Saccharomyces cerevisiae S288C: one gene and its partners. The gene in region 3 interacts genetically with the main gene of each other region. Each region holds a gene or a part of one and is shown on either strand. Other genes may lie near its edges. The genes, in order: ASP3-3, YME2, MBA1 and EMI1.

What was found.
Region 1: mutations in MBA1 (region 3) and ASP3-3 together harm fitness more than expected from each alone (negative genetic interaction), as found in Saccharomyces cerevisiae (2 studies listed by BioGRID).
Region 2: mutations in MBA1 (region 3) and YME2 together harm fitness more than expected from each alone (negative genetic interaction), as found in Saccharomyces cerevisiae (4 studies listed by BioGRID, with this or other methods).
Region 4: mutations in MBA1 (region 3) and EMI1 together harm fitness more than expected from each alone (negative genetic interaction), as found in Saccharomyces cerevisiae (2 studies listed by BioGRID).

Annotation. Positions count from the first base shown.
Region 1 is NC_001144.5:481,992-485,451, reverse strand, and holds ASP3-3 (asparaginase ASP3-3), read left to right. Parts: upstream 1-1,814; coding exon 1,815-2,903; downstream 2,904-3,460. Other genes in the region: YLR159W (uncharacterized protein), read right to left, coding at 1-107; YLR157C-C (uncharacterized protein), read left to right, coding at 3,262-3,393; YLR157W-E (uncharacterized protein), read right to left, coding at 3,415-3,460.
Region 2 is NC_001145.3:869,372-874,202, reverse strand, and holds YME2 (Yme2p), read left to right. Parts: upstream 1-1,577; coding exon 1,578-4,130; downstream 4,131-4,831. Other genes in the region: alcohol dehydrogenase ADH2, read left to right, coding at 1-912; ATP-binding cassette Fe/S cluster precursor transporter ATM1, read left to right, coding at 4,576-4,831. UniProt on the Saccharomyces cerevisiae protein: Plays a role in maintaining the mitochondrial genome and in controlling the mtDNA escape. Involved in the regulation of mtDNA nucleotide structure and number. May have a dispensable role in early maturation of pre-rRNA.
Region 3 is NC_001134.8:598,422-601,653, forward strand, and holds MBA1 (Mba1p), read right to left. Parts: upstream 1,539-3,232; coding exon 702-1,538; downstream 1-701. Other genes in the region: YBR184W (uncharacterized protein), read left to right, coding at 1-513; PCH2 (Pch2p), read left to right, coding at 2,132-3,232. UniProt on the Saccharomyces cerevisiae protein: Mitochondrial inner membrane-associated mitoribosome receptor that spatially aligns the mitoribosome exit tunnel with the membrane insertion machinery and allows cotranslational protein membrane insertion.
Region 4 is NC_001136.10:1,470,000-1,473,196, reverse strand, and holds EMI1 (Emi1p), read left to right. Parts: upstream 1-2,133; coding exon 2,134-2,697; downstream 2,698-3,197. Other genes in the region: YDR514C (uncharacterized protein), read left to right, coding at 198-1,649; dithiol glutaredoxin GRX2, read right to left, coding at 1,749-2,180; SDH7 (Sdh7p), read right to left, coding at 2,779-3,180. UniProt on the Saccharomyces cerevisiae protein: Involved in sporulation. Required for the full activation of the early meiotic inducer IME1.

The DNA of each region.
Region 1 (3,460 bases), on a different chromosome or scaffold from region 3:
GAGAAATAGTATTCCGGAAGCCAGTGGTGTTTACTTATTAGTTTTTTGACGCCACTGCGCGAGTTGCTGCCTAGCTGTTCCTTGGCCAACGCATATTGGAACTTCATTCGACTGATATGCTTACTCAGAGGTCCATTACTTCAAGAATTGTCTCACCTATCGGGCTTGGCGTTTGTACAAGAAGAAACTTTCATCACCTTTGTTTCGCCACCAAATGAAAAAAAAAACTTGCATGGCTTAGGTGGTTCTTTGTCAGAAATATCTTCTAAGGATCAAGAGTCTTACGTGATTCTAATCCCTTGGCAAGTCAGATCTCAAATATGCTCACTCGCAGATGAGTAGCAATGAATGCGACCAAGTGACTAGTGACTGGTGACGACATGAGCCAAGCTGGAACCAGCAGCTTTCACGTCGGCTTATAGCTCTCTATGGGGCAATCAACCACTCATAGTGACTGAAGATCTTTTTAATATAATTACATTGCTAAAAACGTCATACCGCCTTGTGAGCACGATAAACAGCATATGCATTGAGCCTTGTTATTCTTCGGAACTGGGGATAGTAAAATGCGACCCGCTTAGGATGATCAAGCTATCTTTGGGACGGAGTTTTGTCATGGGAGTGGTCATCCTACTGGTGATGCTTCAACATTTGATTTACTAAATTTTGAAATCGGCCGCAGAATAAAACTATTATGTCCAAACAATTGATGGTCGAACCAACGTTAAGGGTTTCAAGTATTGAATTGAACTTTTATGAGTTCTATAATTTCGTTGCGCAAATTCAACTAAACCACCAATATCCCCCCTACAACGCTACACTTTATACCGATAGAGGAATAACGCATAGAGCCTTCGTAGAATTCTTCAACTCGTACGTGATGGGGATTCTAAACCTATCGTCATGTCGCTGTACAAGGCTGCTGCCTGCTTTCAAATTCCCAATTTTACCATGTCCGTTTCGCTGAGCCGAATCGTCACACAAGGTAATTAGTTCTGGGTATCGCTTCAGTATAGCACTGGTTTTTTCCTTGTAAAACCACAGTCTAACAATTAAATGAAGCTTTTCGAAGAAATTAGACCATGTTAGACTGAAAGCAAAGACTCCGGCCCGTTCTGAGGTAAGTTCAATGAAATTGGACAGTTTCTTTTCAAGGTTAGGTTTTGTGTTCGAAAAAAATAGATTACCGCACCTCCTTTCCAAACCCCATGAGTTTCCATTAAGGAAGAGCAACGTCAATAATACCACCTTTTGCAGATGTGATTCAACTCAAGATGCTGTAATCTTTCCCTTCTGACCCTAGATCACCTCATGATATCCTTTTGAGGCAATTAAAGCTGCAGTGTAAACTGTTGAATATCTTTTTGAAACCAAAAAAAAGGACGTTCCACACTTGGCTGCTTTCTTGATAAGCGAGATCTTTACTTGGAGATCTCGCTTAGTCCTCCGAAGGGTAAACCCCGTCTCTTATCTTTAAAAAAATGTATCAGACCCTTCAGCACGTGACAGACAGCAAACTACCAGTCGACGAGGATGCTTTTCCGAAAGTCATGACACAAGGGAAGGACTGTAAGATCGATATCGGCGCAGTCTTATCGGATGTTCCAAGTCCTTGTCTCTTTCATTATCTGCTTGCTATCGCAAAAAAAAAAAAATCAATTTGTTTAATATCAACACATAATGTACAAGAACAAATCATGACATACAAAAGCCATATAAGATGAGTCTTCAAGCAGCACCAAGAGGCCTGAGGCAGAGCAAATGTTGGCTCGCTATTCTTTTGTAAGCAATCTGGTACTCACCAACCTCCAACTATGAGATCTTTAAATACCCTTTTACTTTCTCTCTTTGTCGCAATGTCCAGTGGTGCTCCACTACTAAAAATTCGTGAAGAGAAGAATTCTTCTTTGCCATCAATCAAAATTTTTGGTACCGGCGGTACTATCGCTTCCAAGGGTTCGACAAGTGCAACAACGGCGGGTTATAGCGTGGGATTAACCGTAAATGATTTAATAGAAGCCGTCCCATCTTTAGCTGAGAAGGCAAATCTGGACTATCTTCAAGTGTCTAACGTTGGTTCAAATTCTTTAAACTATACGCATCTGATCCCATTGTATCACGGTATCTCCGAGGCACTAGCCTCTGATGACTACGCTGGTGCGGTTGTCACTCATGGGACCGACACTATGGAGGAGACAGCTTTCTTCTTAGATTTGACCATAAATTCAGAGAAGCCAGTATGTATCGCAGGCGCTATGCGTCCAGCCACTGCCACGTCTGCTGATGGCCCAATGAATTTATATCAAGCAGTGTCTATTGCTGCTTCTGAGAAATCACTGGGTCGTGGCACGATGATCACTCTAAACGATCGTATTGCCTCTGGGTTTTGGACAACGAAAATGAATGCCAACTCTTTAGATACATTCAGAGCGGATGAACAGGGATATTTAGGTTACTTTTCAAATGATGACGTGGAGTTTTACTACCCACCAGTCAAGCCAAATGGATGGCAATTTTTTGACATTTCCAACCTCACAGACCCTTCGGAAATTCCAGAAGTCATTATTCTGTACTCCTATCAAGGCTTGAATCCTGAGCTAATAGTAAAGGCCGTCAAGGACCTGGGCGCAAAAGGTATCGTGTTGGCGGGTTCTGGAGCTGGTTCCTGGACTGCTACGGGTAGTATTGTAAACGAACAACTTTATGAAGAGTATGGTATACCAATTGTTCACAGCAGAAGAACAGCAGATGGTACAGTTCCTCCAGATGATGCCCCAGAGTACGCCATTGGATCTGGCTACCTAAACCCTCAAAAATCGCGTATTTTGCTACAATTATGTTTGTACTCCGGCTACGGCATGGATCAGATTAGGTCTGTTTTTTCTGGCGTCTACGGTGGTTAAAGCCTGATCAGTGACTTTTCATCACACTGTGTTTTTATATAGTTCTTAGTAGTAAATATACTCTATAATTTCTACATCCTTTTCATGATGTGCCAGTTAAGCTATTTTTAGCAAACAAAAAGATGAATTTGAGTATTGAGCACATCATTCACTGTTCAGCTGATACAAAACATATGATTTCTAATATTCACATAGGAAAAATCGCTCCAAACATCGAAGTATCATCGCTACTTTGGTCTTTTATCTGCTTCTCTTCTCTTCGCTCTTTTCACTGCTCGTGCCGCTGCAACGCTCCAACTCAGTTCTATCTCAGCTCCTTCCCCTTATCCCTTGAGCAGTGTCAAGGCGAGGCTGCGTGATGTATTCGTGCGCGAAAAAAAAAACAACTGCAGCACCTGAGTTTCGCGTATGGTCACCCACTACACTACTCGGTCAGGCTCTTACCAGCTTAACTACAGTTGATCGGACGGGAAACGGTGCTTTCTGGTAGATATGGCCGCAACCGAAATAGTTAGGTGTGGCAGCCGTACATATGGAAGCCGGGCGATGGCTCCGCC
Region 2 (4,831 bases), on a different chromosome or scaffold from region 3:
ACCGATTTGCACGCTTGGCATGGTGACTGGCCATTGCCAACTAAGTTACCATTAGTTGGTGGTCACGAAGGTGCCGGTGTCGTTGTCGGCATGGGTGAAAACGTTAAGGGCTGGAAGATCGGTGACTACGCCGGTATCAAATGGTTGAACGGTTCTTGTATGGCCTGTGAATACTGTGAATTGGGTAACGAATCCAACTGTCCTCACGCTGACTTGTCTGGTTACACCCACGACGGTTCTTTCCAAGAATACGCTACCGCTGACGCTGTTCAAGCCGCTCACATTCCTCAAGGTACTGACTTGGCTGAAGTCGCGCCAATCTTGTGTGCTGGTATCACCGTATACAAGGCTTTGAAGTCTGCCAACTTGAGAGCAGGCCACTGGGCGGCCATTTCTGGTGCTGCTGGTGGTCTAGGTTCTTTGGCTGTTCAATATGCTAAGGCGATGGGTTACAGAGTCTTAGGTATTGATGGTGGTCCAGGAAAGGAAGAATTGTTTACCTCGCTCGGTGGTGAAGTATTCATCGACTTCACCAAAGAGAAGGACATTGTTAGCGCAGTCGTTAAGGCTACCAACGGCGGTGCCCACGGTATCATCAATGTTTCCGTTTCCGAAGCCGCTATCGAAGCTTCTACCAGATACTGTAGGGCGAACGGTACTGTTGTCTTGGTTGGTTTGCCAGCCGGTGCAAAGTGCTCCTCTGATGTCTTCAACCACGTTGTCAAGTCTATCTCCATTGTCGGCTCTTACGTGGGGAACAGAGCTGATACCAGAGAAGCCTTAGATTTCTTTGCCAGAGGTCTAGTCAAGTCTCCAATAAAGGTAGTTGGCTTATCCAGTTTACCAGAAATTTACGAAAAGATGGAGAAGGGCCAAATTGCTGGTAGATACGTTGTTGACACTTCTAAATAAGCGGATCTCTTATGTCTTTACGATTTATAGTTTTCATTATCAAGTATGCCTATATTAGTATATAGCATCTTTAGATGACAGTGTTCGAAGTTTCACGAATAAAAGATAATATTCTACTTTTTGCTCCCACCGCGTTTGCTAGCACGAGTGAACACCATCCCTCGCCTGTGAGTTGTACCCATTCCTCTAAACTGTAGACATGGTAGCTTCAGCAGTGTTCGTTATGTACGGCATCCTCCAACAAACAGTCGGTTATAGTTTGTCCTGCTCCTCTGAATCGTCTCCCTCGATATTTCTCATTTTCCTTCGCATGCCAGCATTGAAATGATCGAAGTTCAATGATGAAACGGTAATTCTTCTGTCATTTACTCATCTCATCTCATCAAGTTATATAATTCTATACGGATGTAATTTTTCACTTTTCGTCTTGACGTCCACCCTATAATTTCAATTATTGAACCCTCACAAATGATGCACTGCAATGTACACACCCTCATATAGTTTCTCAGGGCTTGATCAGGGTTCCGTAGATGGGAATTTGAGAAGTATAAGGGAGATAACGGTAATGTTATATTGAGAAAATGAAAGATGAACTCAGTATTGACAGGATCTAAAACCAAAATATAGCGGGCCTATACAGGAAGTAGTATTTGTAAAAGTAAACCATGTTGCTAGTACGAACGACTTCCCTGAATGTGTCAAGGATGCCAGTGCCATGCCTCGCCAGAGGAATAGGCATCCTCAAGGGCAAATATAGACTAGCGAACCTGATGAATGCCCAACCCTCAGTGAGACATGTGTCGAGCGAGATCCAGCAAAAGGATCAGCAGGCAGGAGAGTCAAACACCGCCACCGATACTGGTGTTATTCACAAATCAGATGAAGAAACTCTGATATATTTCGATAATGTTTACGCTAGAACCACCTCGGTTTGGAATCCAACACTGTGGTACAATCTCCTGCTAAGAAACCAGTCACGGGATGCAGTGAGGGAGAAAATAAGGAATTTAGCCAGTCCACCCAATAACCCCATTTATGGACTGGAGTTGAAGTCTACCATTCCAGTGAAAAGGGATGGTGGTGTATTTGCCACATTTGTCGTTCCACCCAAGTATACAAAAGCTCAGGTAAATTCTCTAATCCAACAGAATACAGCCAGAGAATCCTCTAAAAACTTACTCTCGTACTTCACTCGAGCTTCTGCCTTCCCAGTAAAGGGTTCGCCTTGGATTGAGGATTTAAGAAGACTACCAAGTACCACTATAGTCATCAAGTTCCAAGGGCCCGCCTTAACAGAAGAAGAAATATACTCTTTATTCAGAAGATATGGGACAATTATTGATATTTTCCCTCCCACTGCTGCTAACAACAATGTGGCAAAGGTAAGATACCGTTCATTCCGTGGTGCCATTTCTGCCAAGAATTGTGTTTCCGGTATCGAAATTCATAATACCGTCTTACACATACAATACGAAAATATCAGAAGAGGCCATCTAGTTAGTAATTTTTTCACCAACCATACAAGGATTGCTATTCCAGTTTTATTTGCGCTACTTTCAATCTTTGCTGTTTTAGTGTTTGATCCTATAAGAGAATTTTCGATTGAACAGAAGATCACTCACAAATATTCTTTATCGTGGGACAATAAGTTTTGGAAACAACTGAAAACGCTAACCTCATCTACCATGACTTCTATCAAGTACTACTGGGGCGGCCCTGATGATAATCACCAAAGAAAGCATTTATGGGAGGAAAGAATAGAGAAAGTGAATGACCTGAAAATGTGGCTTGAAGAAAATAATAATACTTTTGTGGTTATAAGGGGGCCTAGAGGTTCAGGGAAACATGATTTGGTCATGCAACACACTTTGCAAAATAGAGCAAATGTTTTGTATTTGGATTGTGATAAATTGATTAAGTCCAGAACAGATCCTATGTTTTTAAAAAATGCCGCTAGTCAATTGGGTTATTTCCCAATATTCCCATGGATTGACTCTGTCACAGGTGTCCTTGATTTAACAGTGCAAGGATTAACAGGGCAAAAAACTGGGTTGTCTGAGACGAAGGAATCTCGGTTTAGAAACATGTTAACTACCTCATTGATGTCCATTAGACGTATTGCTCTCAAGAATTACAAGGCTTTTGTTTCCACCGGTGATGGGACAGTTAATGTTAAGGAAGAAGATTACCTACAGCAACATCCGGAAGCTAAACCCGTTATCGTCATAGATAGGTTTGAGGGCAAGTCGGAAATAAATGGATTTGTGTATAAGGAACTATCCGATTGGGCAGCTATGCTAGTTCAAATGAATATTGCTCATGTGATTTTCTTAACGGAAACCGTTGCATCCAACCAAAGATTGAGCGAATCACTACCCAATCAAGTCTTCAAAAACCTAATCCTATCAGATGCCTCAAAAGAGAATTCGAGGAACTATGTATTATCCCAATTGGAGGATTACTTATATTACAATAAAAAATCCAAGGGTGAAAACGTAAAAGAACCTGAATCAGAAAAGGAAACTGCTGAAAATAATGATTCTGATAGTGAGGCCGATACGAGTGTCAAAAAAGCTGAGGTTATTTTAAATGAAAAGGAATTACAGGAAATTGACGCTTCTTTAGAGCCATTGGGTGGTAGGATGTTAGACTTACAGGCATTTGTAAGAAGGGTAAAGTCAGGAGAAGAGCCCTCGGAAGCAGTAGACAAAATGATTGAACAGGCTTCTGAGCAAATAACTCAAATGTTTTTAAGTGACAAGATTGACAGCAATAAAAGTGCACAAGCCTGGGAATTAATCGAATTATTGAGTGCGAACCCAGTCATTCCATTCCATGAAATCGTTAACAAGCCATTATTCAAAGCCGCACCAGAAACGGGAATCATGGAATTGGAGAATAATGGTTTAATAACTGTATCTAGAGATAGGGGTGTTTTACAGGAAATCAGGCCTGCCAAACCGCTATACAGGGCAGCATTCACATACTTGATCAACGATCCTGAACTCGCAAAAGTGCTAAAAACCCGTTACTTATTAAAGGTTGTGGGTTTTGAAACTGGTAGAATCAAGAAATGGGAAGAAGAATTAAAACCTTTGGGGAAAGTTCCTGATCAGAAACTTTTCAAGACCAGATTGGACTATTTATCCGGTAAAATCAATGCCAGTAATGCAGTCATTACCAAATGTGAAGAAGAAATTAAAAACCTATCTAAGTGATGAAACAAAACTTACTATTCTGCTTTTCTGTACATATGTGTAAACCCTATATTGCTATACTCATCTATATTCTTTTGAAAATGTATAAAAGTGACGATTGGAGATGGTGCAATTTTCTACGCAGCATGAAAAATATCTAAGGAAGGTAAGGTACATACCAAGTAAGTCTTATAATATGTTGTTGTACCTCACTTTACCATTCTTAAAGTCTTTAAAAGAAATTACCTTACCCAATTTGCACAGCAAAGGTCACTGACCTATACGTGCCCTTCATCAGATTACATCACGTGAAATTTCACTGGGAAAGAGCGCGAGGGCTTTCCGATGACTTTCTACATTAATAATCGCAAACAAAGCAATCAGCACAGCAAAGAGTACAATTTCGAAAATTGCGACAGAGCAACGTAAGTATATCGTTGTTGATAGATTCCACTCCAACCTGCAAATGCTGCTTCTTCCAAGATGTCCTGTAATTGGGCGAATTGTAAGATCAAAATTTAGATCTGGTCTAATCCGGAACCATTCGCCCGTTATATTTACTGTGTCTAAGTTATCAACCCAGCGGCCTCTGTTATTCAATTCAGCTGTGAATTTATGGAATCAAGCACAAAAGGATATTACGCACAAAAAATCCGTCGAGCAATTCTCGTCGGCTCCAAAAGTGAAGACTCAGGTAAAAAAGACCAGCAAGGCCCCAACCC
Region 3 (3,232 bases):
ACAATTATACTTTCAAATCATCGATATCATCCTAAGGGTTTTAGCGCTGATTACTGTTACAGTGCAAATGAATTGACATTATTTCTTTTTGTTATTCGAACAGGGCAAAAAAAAGTACTTTATCGATCTATTCCTCACAACACAGCAGCAATTGAAAAAGACAGTTCTTTTGATACAGAAAATAGAAAGAGAAGGTCCGAGGAAGAGGTTGTTCTTAAATGTAGGAAGTGTTCTAATAATTCATTGGCATTAAAAGAAATCAGCACCTATCGTTTGGATAGCGCAGAAGGTTTTGAGAAGTCTCAGCCTCTAAAAGATGAAGCAAAGCTCAGTGATATGAATTATGTACAAGGTAGTATCAGCTATAACAGGACTATTCTTACCGGCTTATGGAAATTATTTCACAGATTGTGCTGCAAAGATCGTTATAGGAAAACCAATCTGTCAGAAACATTGTTCTATGACGATTCAACGGAAAGATGGGTTAGAATGGGAGAGTTAATGCACTATTGAAAGGGAGATGCTTCAATAACTTTTTTCATGAAAAACTATTTAATAAATTTAATATATATACTTCAGAATGAAAAACAAATGAATAGTTTTTACTGAATATGTAAGTGGTATGTGGAATAAGAAACTCAAATGAAGCAATGGCTATTTACAGATGTTCCAAAACTTTTCGCATTTATATACATATTGCCTTAGCTTGGAGGTAAACGATATATATCACCGTTAACTTTCATTCTGTGTATGGCAACTTTAGCATCGTCCTCGTAGCTTTTCGGTAATTTATCATTTGGTTTACTTTCAAACAAAGATCCCATTAAAATCATATCATTAGTTGTAGCATCACACAAAAAGGCAATATAGTCTACAACGTCACGGTCTAACGTCTCAGTCTTCTTAGTTTGCTGATTGACTTTAATTAGTCTTTGCTTCGTATCAAATTTGTAAACCAACTGTAAATGCTCTAACGGCATTCCGGGAATCATGATTGGTTGCACTGAGACTAGTTTAGGAACTGCATTAAACTTTATCAACTGCCAGTCCAGTGTTGCATTACCTGGAAGTTGACGGGACCTAGCCTCGAGAGCTTCCTGAACCCATAATGAAACTAACCCTTTGATGTCCGACAAATTTTTATGAGCAAATGACGTGTTTACATTGATATACGTCTCTATGGCTTTGTTTTTCCAGAGTAAAAAAGAAGGTTTAATGCCTGATTGAAAACGAAACAATGCGACTTGAACAGAGTTCAAACCAAACGTGTAAAGTCTTCTGATCAATGCATTTGCAACAATGAGAGGATGAGCAAATACATTTGGAAGGTTCTTGTAAGCCGAGGGGATAAATATTTCGGCAGCAACACCCAGGTGCCGAGGATTAAAATCTTGCTGCTTACTTTTATCTTTCTTCTTTGTAGTTTCACTTTCTTTATTCAAAATTAACCTCGAAGTTGAAAATAATCGCCGCTTGTTAAATGATATCAACAAGGATCTTGGAGGGAAGAAAAGGCATGTAGATCTTAATACACTCATCTCATAAGCTTAGCTGAATGGATAGGCTTGCTTTCTGATGGAAATTTGCCTTGCTTTTCCAACTATTCCATTACTCAGGTTTTATTTTTTTATTTTGTAATATGGGGAGAAGGCCGGCAGAATATTTACGGACAAATGAATAAATTGGATTGGATTGACTAGTGGAACGTGTAAAGATCGCGATACTCCGTACCAATCACCGAAAGATTGCCCGTAACCGAAATGACTCCATTCTCTGAATTTTTTGTGAAACCAATATCTGAGACTCTTCCTTCATCTTATCAACGTATTGTTCAGTCAATTAAGTAAGAAGTATATTTGAGCGCAGCCTTAATCATATATAGCACCAGTTATATGTTTGCCCCTCTCTTGAGTTGAAAAACACATAATACATAGTACTGTACTTTTCTCTTTTTCATCGTTGGCGAAAATATAATCTTTCTCAAAAATATATATATATGTATATATATCCTTAGATTTGCCGTTGACAATAAGGTGGGCGGCAAATCTACGAAATGCGAGGCGGTTAAAAGAGAGTGACAACATTTTCATAAAAATATTCTGATCTCAAACTGAAGACATAAAATAAGGATATGAGCTACATAGTTGACCTACAAGTGCGAGGATCATCTCTGAGGGTTATCAAATGTATGTTTAGAGAGGATGAGCAAATTTCTTCTCTACATTCTGGTTCTGACTCGAAACAAAACAGCAACAAAAAGCTGGGAGAATTTTTGAATCTGTTAAAAGCAGTGGTCAAGAGGAAGTTGGAAAGTTTCCCAAAAGACCGTTTAAAGACTTCGATTATAACTGGCCAAGAATTAATGAGAGAGGGGCAAGGAAGTATTGAAATTAAGGATCCACCAACGGAGGCGCAACAACATTTGATTAGAAGCCTAGCAAAAGTTTTATTACACCAGTTTTCAAGCATAAATGGCAAAGTTAACACAGTAAATGAAGGACAAGATAATTTGTTTCTATCCTTATTCGTTAAAAAAATTTCTATAGAGCAACAGTCCACATCACACGTCTCTATTAAATTGAACTTTCATGAGAAAATAAATTTGGGTCAGCACATAGATTCTATTTTAGATTCAGAGGAGACCAACGAGTCGGACACTTATCACATGGGATCTGTTGACGAGTTCATTATATATCCCTTTTGCTGTCTGGAAGAGCAAGATGAGCTGAAAAATGGCAGCATACTGTCCACAGAGTTCGACAAGATTGACTTAGAACTAGACGAGGATGATGGTTTTGAGGGAGAAACTTTAAACAATTGTATCAATTCGGTGGGAAATTTTGACATTCCACTAAGTAAGCAAACACTAAACTTAGTAAATATATCATATCTTCCAGGCACAACTTTCGAGGGCCAATGGGAATCGTTGTATTTTGGTAACAATATTAAAGAAAGGTTATATAGCTACGCAACTATATCTCTCAAGATAGCAAGATTCAAACAAACTGGAGACTCCAATCAAGAAGACATTACAACGCTAATCACAAATAATAAATTACTCCTTGTCCATGGTCCTCCGGGAACAGGTAAAACAACGTTATGCAAAGCACTTTGCCAAAAATTATCTGTGAGGCGGGAATTTTCAGACGGTTCCGATACCATTGATACTAATTATAAGGGGATAATAATAGAATTGTCTTGTGCACGCATCTTTTCTAAATGGTTTGGAGAA
Region 4 (3,197 bases), on a different chromosome or scaffold from region 3:
TATGTGCTTCCAGCTTTACTTTTACTAATTTTTTCATAAGCACAAAATAGTAAGATCTTTTTTCTCTTGGCGGTGAAAAATTTTGATTCGATGGATCAATAACATACTGCAAAAAACGGTTTGAGGACATATGAATACTGCATTTACTAGTAATTTGCCTAGTATATAGTTTGACTACACAGATTATAAGCTATTGTATGAGTAGCTCCACAAAGTGCAAGAAAGCATACGAAGCGGTAGTCAAAATGGTTACGCATAGATTCAACTCCAAAGCAGTCCGCAATTACCATCAACCACAAGGTTTAAACAGGAGTCTGGCAACCCGCAATGCAGCTAGAGTTAGGGGTATGGTCCCTTCAAGAAGAGGGGGCGTGGGACTGTATAAGAGTTCAAGTAGCAAGTTGATGAATAAACTAGGAAGACAAAAGACATGGATAAATGAGTTTGAACATTTTAATTCTCTGCACGAAATTGCATATACCCCTAACATTGCGTTAAGTAGTGAAATCCAAAAATATTTAAAGGCATTGGAAACAAACTATCGGTCCATCTATGAGAAAAGTTCAGAATTACTGGATAAGAAGCTGGAAGAAATTGACAAGAAATGGATAGAGAAAAACGGGTGTATACCTGATGCATCTAAAGACGATGTGGAGAAAAATCTAAGAAAGCAATATTTAGCAGATGTACAGGACGTAAAAAACGAACATATACCTGTGATGAATTGTGAACCTGGTGGGTCTCAGTTCAAGTATCTCTGTAAAACTATTGAGTTATTATCATCCAACAAGACAATTTGTTTTGCCATCGATGTAGAGGCATTTGAATTTGATACAGACATTGTTACAGAGATTGGCATCGCCATATATGATCCAAGAGAAAACATTTATTCCTTGATGCCGATTATAAGAAGTTATCATTTAATTGTTGCTGAAGCGTTACCGTTAAGAAACAAGAAATTCGTATGCGACTTTAAAGACTGCTTTTTACTTGGAGAAAGTCTTGTATTACCATTGGAACAATGTGTAGAGTTCATTCAGTCGTTGATTAATTTCTATATGAAATGTGAGACGGACCAAGATACAACCTGGGAAAGAGCGTTTGTGGGTCATGCTATAGCGGGGGATATTAAGTGGCTGAAGAAAATTGGGGTCCATGTACCTGAATTGGATAATGAACTTACCAAACCGGAGGACTCAACGGAGAGCAAAGGTGTTAGAAAACATGTTAAGATGCTTGACACAGAGAAAATTTATAGCATGTGTTATGGCAAGAAGGGTAGCAGTTTAGGTAAACTACTAAGGCTTTTTCACTTGCCACATGCCTTCTTACATAACGCAGGCAATGATGCATATTACACGTTGCTCCTGATGCTGAAGTTAGGAGATTATAACTTTAGAAAGCAAATTGGGGCAGATGATTTAGAAACAATGGGATATAGGATAAGAGAATGGTTTAAGCGTGAGGCGGACGAACCCAAAATTTTGCCAATGTCGTACGTGCTAAGTGTGATGAATGCCAATAATAGCAAACCGAAAGTTGATGATAAGGGAAGAAAGAAGCCGAGGGATCTTGTACCTCAGACGGAATTTAGCGGGTCTCATTGGTTTCAAAATGCACGCGCAGCCTTCAAAAGTACTCTTGTGTGAATCTAGCTAGAAGTTTTGTAGGTATATGTGATTTAAGATATAGATAATAAAAGATATATATATGTAAATATTATGAAGGGGATATTAGCGTAATTTAAACTATTGAAATACCGGCTTCAATATTTCAGCTAACTTGCCATTTTTCTTCAAAGTTTCCAAATCGCTGTTACCACCAATGTGCTTGCCATTGATGTATACGTTAGGTACAGTTTTTTGGCCCGAGATTTCTTCTAAAGCGTCTTGAATCTCTGAGCCATTGCTCATTTCATCTAATTCCAACACAAGGGCCTTGGATTTGGGAACGTTCAATTCTTGGAAGAGGGTAGACAAAGTAGCTTTACAGTAAGGGCAGTATGTCTTTGCTGCAACAAACACTTCCTTTTGGCCAATCAGATCCTTTACGTGAGCAACTGTTTCCTGGGATACCATTTTTGGAGTAGATAAAAATCTTTTAGCAATAATTCTTGTGGCAAACAACGTGATAATGATAATAACAATTAAATTCGAGTCGAAGGAAAAATTGGTCTCCATGAAACAATATATAACAGTAGTTGGAGTGTCCGTTAATCAAGAGGGCACCTTTTCTTGGCGTCCTGGGACTTTTTATATGAAAATTCATGAAGAAAGTGCGGCGGGCCCCTTTGCGAAGGGGGCCGAAATATCGGATCTTAGTAATAGTTCTGCTATTGGATGTGGTATTAGCATAAATCAAGAGGGAGGCGATGGTTCTATTAGGGTAAAAGAGAGCAGCTTGAGGAAGAAACAGGAAAGGATGAGTACAAAATATCCGACAACGATGAGTTGCCGAGAGGCATTTGATCAACTGACGAGTTGCTATTCGATTGGAGGGCAATTTAGAAGCTATTACAGATATGGAGATTTTACATCATGTGACAAGCAGGTGTCCAAATTCAAGTTTTGTATTATCCACGGCAATGACCCTGTGAAAGTGCAGGAATGGTATAAAGATCAGGTTTCCAACAATAAGGCATTGGAAAATACCAGTGGGGTTATATGGCAGGAGAGGGAGACCACTGCAAATAAGTGAGATTTTTAGCTTTTTTTTTTTAGCATGTGTACTATATAGTATATGGATTTCTTATTTACAAGCGCAATAAAAAGACGAACACTAATCCTTGTTGTTCCGCTTCACGTCCTTACTTGATTCTATTTCATTGTCTTGGTGAAGTTTCTGTGTTTCCTTCATCAATTCATACAGTTGAACTGTTTGCTCAGGGGATAGTTTCTCCAGGGTTTCCGAAGATAAAGTGGCATCTTTCCATTTACCGTTGGAAATCATGTGGAGATAATCTTGCCAGGAAGCTAAAAAGCCGACTATATGCAACGGGTTATCGATATCTTTGTGCAACTTGAACTCGTTTCGCACGTATTGGTCACCCATCTCCCTTTGGGGACCAGGTAGCAGCTTATGCTGCCTTAGTATCCTTCTGTAGAGAACCAAAGGTGGAAGTAAAAGCTGGCTGTTATGGGTTGCAAATCTAACCGAACGATATATGAGCTTGTTGTTCATGGTGAATGAAGACGGGA